Linked DNA regions of Sus scrofa. The protein of the gene in region 1 interacts with the protein of each later gene in a pairwise test. Links are inferred from orthologs where the notes say so. Each region holds a gene or a part of one and is shown on either strand. Other genes may lie near its edges.

The links.
Region 2: the proteins of TK1 (region 1) and C7H14orf1 interact in a two-hybrid assay, tested with the Homo sapiens proteins (2 studies listed by BioGRID and IntAct). The link is inferred for Sus scrofa from reciprocal best matches to the Homo sapiens genes TK1 and ERG28.

The regions. Positions count from the first base shown.
Region 1 is NC_010454.4:3,792,061-3,795,374, forward strand, and holds the end of TK1 (thymidine kinase, cytosolic), read left to right. Parts: intron 1-1,525; coding exon 1,526-1,615; intron 1,616-1,822; coding exon 1,823-1,942; intron 1,943-2,034; coding exon 2,035-2,211; 3' UTR 2,212-2,764; downstream 2,765-3,314. UniProt on the Homo sapiens protein: Cell-cycle-regulated enzyme of importance in nucleotide metabolism. Catalyzes the first enzymatic step in the salvage pathway converting thymidine into thymidine monophosphate.
Region 2 is NC_010449.5:98,816,761-98,820,510, reverse strand, and holds the start of C7H14orf1 (probable ergosterol biosynthetic protein 28 precursor), read left to right. Parts: upstream 1-868; coding exon 869-1,001; intron 1,002-3,750.

The DNA.
Region 1 (3,314 bases):
CATCCTCATGGATACTAGTCAGATTCATTTCCACTGAGCCACAGCGGGAACTCCTGGATTAGGGCCCACTTTCCTGACCTGCTTTAACTGGATGGCCTCTGCAAAGACCCTCTCCAAATAAGGTCGCACTCGGGTGCTGGGGATTAGGGTTTCAACATGGATTTGAGGTGTGAGAGGGACACAACTCAACCCAAAATGTAACCTAAAAATGAATGGCAATAAAATCCAACGCCAGCAACATGGTTACCCGTGGGCATCTTGAGATTTTGCAGAAAACCCAGGCAGCTCTGTCCTTACCTTCGATCACCCAGGAACCCCTGCTGGGGGCCCAGGGTCGGTGTTGGGGAGGGGGGCGTGTGAACAGGGGACAAAGTCCGGGTGGAAGAGCTGAGTGCTCTGACCACAGGTGAAGCCAAGGACCCTCCGAGGTCCCCAGACCCTGGTGTGGAAGGACCTGCCTCTTGACGAGGCCTCAGCAGGGAGGGGGAGTGCAGGGGATTCGTTCCTCTCCCACCCCCGCCGCAGTGGGTATCTGGCAATGTCTGGAAACAGTTTTGTGACAGCTGGTCGGGGGGCACTTACTGACAGCTCCTTGTAGGTGGGGGCTGCATTTCTGTGACCCGAGTCCTTCAGAGAAAAAGAACCGCCTGGGGCAGGGTCAGCTGGAGCCTCTGGGTGGGGGCGGCCGTTCCAGAGCTCAGGCCCCTCCAGCCCTGCCAGGGGGCGGTCAGCTCTGGCTTCAGTGGATCCCGCTGCATAGAGGGGTTTCTAACGCCTCTCCTGGTCCTGTCTTGGTAACTTCTCGAACATCCGGCTGAGTGAGGCCTGGGTGGCTTGGAGAAAGACCCTCTAGGCAAGAATAATCCCCACTTCACCCAACCCACAGGTCCGTCTCGACAGATGATGACCAGTGAAAATCCACCAAAGGGTTTTAAGCAGCCTCACCCTGGGCCACTTGAAATGAAATTTGAGTCACCAACTAAGCGGCCTGCTGCAGACCCTGCATTTAGAAGGGTGTGCCGGGACCGTGGAACTGCCACCCCTTCTCAAGGCATCGCATGGCACATTGTTTTTTGTTGGGTTTTAAGTGGCAGGCACACAGCCTACCTCTCAGCCAAAGAGAATAAATTATTTGAGGGTCTTTAATCCTTAACCCCCCCCAAAGCCCTCCCTGTCTTTTCCAGGCTCGGGAATCTGAAGTCATTGCCCAGGTCACAGCTAACGGGTGACCATGGTTCAAGCCCAAGGCAGCCTCTGGTCCAAGCTGTTGACACTGCAGTGGCAGACCGCCTTTCTAGCCGGGCTGCGTCACCCTGGTGACAGGTCCGGGTTCTTGACCTGGAGGGGGGCCTGGGTCTGCTGGGGACATGCAGCTGTGCGCCGGGCAAGGGGCTGGGGCTGCCCAGGTCTCGCGCTCCCCGCCGACTGGGTGCCCGGAGCTGTCGGGTCCGGCAGCACCTTCTCTGTGGCTCCCGGAAGCTGCTGCCCAGGCGGGAGCTGTCCTCACCCCCTCTCCCGCCCCCAGTTCCCTGACATCGTGGAGTTCAGCGAGACCATGGCCAACGAAGGCAAGACCGTGATTGTGGCCGCCTTGGACGGGACCTTCCAGAGGAAGGTAAGGCGTCCGGGCCTGGGACCCGGGAGGCGGGGGGCCGGGGCCGTGCAGAGACGGGCTCCTGGGGCCGCGGACCGGGTCCGCCGGCTGCAGGCGCCGGGCTCTGGGGAAGGCCAGGGCAGGGCCTCGGTCCCTGGCTTCCGTGCTGGGAGGCAGCCTTTCCGGGAAAGGGCGAGCTGAGAGCGCCCGTCTCTGGTGGGACCGCAGGCTTTCGGGAGCATCTTGAACCTGGTGCCCCTGGCCGAGAGCGTGGTGAAGCTGACGGCCGTGTGCATGGAGTGCTTCCGGGAGGCCGCCTACACCAAGAGGCTGGGCGTGGAGAAAGAGGTAGCTGCCCTGCCTTCTCCCGGGGGCGCGGGCGGGCGGGGCGGGGGCCGCCGCGCCCCCCTCAGTCCAGGCACCTGGTGTCCCGTGTCCAGGTCGAGGTGATCGGAGGAGCGGACAAGTACCACTCCGTGTGCCGCCTCTGCTACTTCAAGAAGACAGGGCTGCCCATCGGGCTGGACAGCAAGGAGAACAGAGAGAACGGCCTGGCGCTGGGCGTCAGGAGGCTGTTCGGCCCCCATCAGCTCCTGCAGTGCAGCCAGGCCAACTGAGGCGCCGGCCCGCCGCTGAGCCCCGGAGGCCGCCTGCGCCCCAGGAGGAAGCGGGGGCGGTTGTCCAGCACCAGGAGCTGCCCGCCCTTCCGGCCGAGGCCGGCGGTCTGCTCGGCACACTTCCCTCCTGGGCCGCCCGCTGGCCTCTCTCAGTTCCCGTCCCCGCTGCTGGGCCGCTGCTCACAGGCCGCCCCAGGCCGGAGCTGGCAGCTCCGTGGCGAGGGGTCTGGCCCCGGCAGACGTCCCCTCCGCTCCCCCGGGGTGAGGCTGGAGCCACAGCCGCTGACAGGGGTGCTGCTGGCCTCTTCCCCCTTTGTGGCTTTGGCTGCCGAGTTTCTGTTCTTGCTGGGAAGCCCGAGCCCCCACCTCTGGCTGGCACCGAGCCTCTCGCGCACACAGACTGAGCCCCTCTGAGGACAGCCAGACTGGGGCACTCTCACTTCCCTGTGGCCTGCAAGCCCTTCCGGGGCTCAGCTCCCAGGGCTCCTCTTTTAGGGAAGGGCTGTGGCCTTCTGTCAAGTTCTCTGCCATGAATAACCACCTGGAAAAGTTACTGTGTGGTGAGAGCACATTCTCAAACCGCCTGGGGCTTCCCGGGCCTCGCCGCGGAGAGCGCTGACGTGATTCGGGTGCGGGGATTTCTCTCCAGTTCTTTTTCTAGTTCCGCTGTCTCTTCGCCGCAACCGGTTTTGGCTGAGAGACGGCCATGAGGCGTGTCCAGAGAAGCTTTCCTGGCTCTTCTGTCTGGTTGGGCATCCAGACAAGAAGGGTAGATGGAGCCCGGGGCCCAGGCTGGAAAGATGAGGCTTTGGTCCGTGCTGCCAGCTCGTGCTGCGAGGCCAGAGTTTGTGAACAGACACTTGACAGTCCAGGAGCCAAGAAGCCCAGCTCTGCTGTGCCTCGGAAAACCGGGCTGTGGGCGGCTTGTGTGGAGGCGAGGCTGCACCGCAGGGGGTGCCAGGCTCCCCATCCTCCCGGCTGCTCCCTCCCCCTTGGCTCTGCTTGGTCCCAGGTTCCAGAGGTGCAGTGCAAGGGTCAGACTGATTCCCAAACCCTGTTGGTTTTCACTCAGGACCTTCAAACGGCCGGGCCCACTTCTGACA
Region 2 (3,750 bases), on another chromosome or scaffold:
CCACTTACATTGCAAAGGAATGACATGAAACATCAGGCTGGAAGTAAAGATCCCGGGGCACTGGTTCCAGCCAATAGAAGAGAGTTTTGATTTAGGCTAATATTTTGGAGAAGTTGCTGGGACAAAAATAAGCACTATGCCACTAATTGCAAAGTACACTATTGATCCATCACTATTAGTACAAGTAAATACTGAGACCAATTTCTGTAAGTCGTACACGGAAGTCCATTTTATTATCGTAATATCTGTACACTTCCCTTTCTCCTGTTCCCTTTCTTCTCTCCACTCTTTCCAATGGTTTGTCATTTCCACCCACTGCATTATTTAGCCTTTTTCACTCTGGGTAAAGGTCAGCCCACTTTGAATTTAATAAGGTAGATTTTTTTTTTTTTTTTTTTTTTTTTTTTTTTGCTTTTTAGGGCCGCACCCGTGGCATATGGAGGTTCCCAGGCTAGGGGTCTAATCAGAGCTGTTGCTGCCAGCCTACGCCAGAGCCACAGCAATGCCAGATCCAAGCCCGTCTGTGACCTACACCACAGCACACGGCAACGCTGGATCCTTAACCCACTGAGTGAGGCCAGAGATCAAACCTGCAACCTCATGGTTCCTAGTCAGATTCATTTCCACCGGACGGAACTCCTAATAAGGTAGATGTTAAAAGCCACTATGCCAACTCTGTGAAGGGTGACTGGGAATGGATTAACCTAGGGTATTAGAGAGGAGTTGAAGAAGTGATTGACAACATAAGCTCCTCATGAGGAGGAGACAGGTTAACATCAGAAGCGAGCGAGCTTGTGGTTATCAGTATTCTATCCTGCCTTTTGCCTTTGTTTCCAAGGCACAAAGCCCTCTAGGGTTGAAGAGAGCCATGAGCCGGTTCCTGAACGTGTTACGAAGCTGGCTGGTCATGGTATCCATCATAGCCATGGGGAACACGCTGCAGAGCTTCCGAGACCACACCTTTCTCTATGAAAAGCTCTACACCGGCAAGCCAGACCTCGGTGAGAAAATAGAGACCTGCATCCCTTGGGGGAGCGGGGGGTGGCCTAAATTGCGGTTCTCAACCAGCTATCCATCCACATTACCTAGAAAAACTAAAACAAAGCACAGCTGTCCATGGCCCTCTCCAGACCTCCTTACTGAAACTTTCACCCCCTAGATGGGGCCCAGGAATCTGTTTTAAAAACTTTGCAGGTGAGGGAGTTTCTGTTGTGGCTCAGAGGTAACGAACGCAACTAGAGTCCATGAGGATGCAGGTTTGATCCCTGGCCTCACTCACTGGATTAAGGATCTGGCATTGCCTTGAGCTGTGGTGTCGGTAGCCAGTGCGGCTCTGACCTGGTGTGGCTGTGGTGTAGGCTGGCAGCTACAGCTCCGATACAACCCCTAGCCTGGGAATTCCATATGTCACGGGTACGGCCCTAAAAAAACAAACAAACAAAAACTTCCCAAGTGATTCTGATACTGCCTACTCTAGCCTTTGGCTGCCACTAGAGTCACAGACGTGATGGATAGATGGCACTTGGTCCTCTTTTCCCCAGAGCTTCTCCGAACATCTTTTCATTCATCTTAAACTGCCCTAGGCAGCTAATCTGTACAAAAAGCATTACAAGTGAGGAAATAGAGGTCTTTGGTGACTCTGTGGTGCTTGACTTGAAAACCATAAATAAAGAAGCTTTTCATATTAGCTCAGCGCCCATCAGAAATCAGGTCGTGGTACACGTAGTTTACATCCTACATTGCAGATGGAGGGTTACCTGTCCAAGATCTTTTCAAACTATGACATAGACCCTGCAGAGATATCCAAAATCCCTCCAAGTTGGTCTCCCAAAACTAATTTCCAAAGGCCCATAGTGGCCTTTCTCAGTGTCCTGAGCCTCTCTGCTGAGAGTGTTTGCACACTTCAGCTTGCACTTCTTGTGCTACTGTAAGGGGTGGCTTGAGCTGCAGCACCATTTCATAGCAGCTGACAATTCTGTGTCACATTTATAGCTAACCCAGATTCAGGCTCTGACCTAGCTCACTTCTGCAACATCTGGGCATAAAAGGAAACTAAGTAGGCTATGGCTCACTTTGAACAAAGCTCAGATACACTAGGAATAAAGAACCTGGAAACCTGGAAAGTGGCCAGGACAATTCCACTTTTCACCCTCAGTGCTGCTCCTCAGATAGTCTGGGAACCCTGTATAGACTCACAGGTTTAAAACAGAGAAGCCCATGGGGTATGTGATTTGCTGAAGGGCATATAGCTGAGCAGAATTCTGTGTGTGTGTGTGTGTGTGTGTGTTTACTAAAACATTACATCTGGTGAAGAGCAAAGATTTTACTACACCTCAAATGCAGAACACATGAAGCAGAGAAATGTTAGCTTTTTAAACAGAAGCAGATTTTTTAAAAAGATGCAGGACCCCTTCAGTTCTTCATCAGTCGTGTGTGTACGTCTGCAGCCCAGAAATAGAAACTGCCTCCTCCCTCATGACCTCGGGGCTGTCCTGGTGCTTTGCTGATCAGGGCAAGACCCTGGAGTATCCCGTAGAATTTCACCTGATGCCTAATCTGGTTACGCTTCGGGAGATGTTCCACTTTCGTATTTTACTCACTAAAGAAAGTTTCTGTTTTTTCATAAGAAAAGCTGTCAAAATGCTTTCTAAAGAAGATAGCCCTCCACAGTGTAACCACTAGATATTTGTTTGGTACATGGAATTTTTTCTCACCTTACTACCATCTGAAGGTAGTTGTGAATTTGGTATTGCCTGGTTTTCCAAAGGCTAGAAAACCTTGAAGCCCAAATTGACCTTTCAGTCGCCAGTCTTCCTTACATTTTCTCATGGTTCATTGACTATTTGGCATTCCGTGCTACTGGATGCCTTAGATCAATGCTTGTACATTAAAAATCACCAAGGCAAGGAGTTTTTAAAAGATACCATCTGGGCCTTGAATTTACCTTTGGAGCATGTGATTTAACTGGTCTGGTATCCATGTCTTGGAATTTTATAAAACTTCTTTAGCTGATTCTATTAACTGTCCAGTGTCAAGAAGCACTGGTGGAGTTCCTGTCGTGGCTCGGGAGTAGCAAACCTGACTAGTATCCATGAGGATGGGGGTTCGATCCCTGGCCTTGCTCAGTGGGTTAAGGATCCAGTGTTCCATGAGCTGTGGTGTATGTTACAGACACAGCTCGGATCTGGTGTTACTGTGGCTGTGGCATCTGTATCTCCAATTTGACCCCTAGTCTGGGAACTTCCACATGCCGCGGTACAGTGCTAAAAAAAATTTTTTAATTAAAAAAAAAAAGAAGCACTGTTAGAGCAAACTGTAATCTCTACTCTCAGGACACGATATTTAATATAGCAATGCCAGAATGAAACTGCCAAGAGCACAGTGGCCCCAGCAAACACTAAAGAAACTGCTTTGTTCCCCTCCCATTTACACAGAAAACCAGCCTGGTTTGGGTTTTGTTCACATAGTAGAGATCTGGATGCAGGAACAGACCCATGGACTTGGGTCTCTTAGAGACGGATGTGGGCATTCAGGTAGGTCCCAGTTTTCTGAGCGCTCTGCCGTATCAGCCTATAAAGTCTACTGAGCTCCTAGGCATCTCGTATTGACAGACCACTCTCCTCAACATTCCCCCAGGTCTGTCCTGATCCAGATTCGCTGGGCCTTGCCAACACCAGAGGGGCTTCCAGGGCAGAGGCATGAACTACCACACCCAGAAGTTACTGCTCAAGTGGGCTCTTTGTTGGGTTT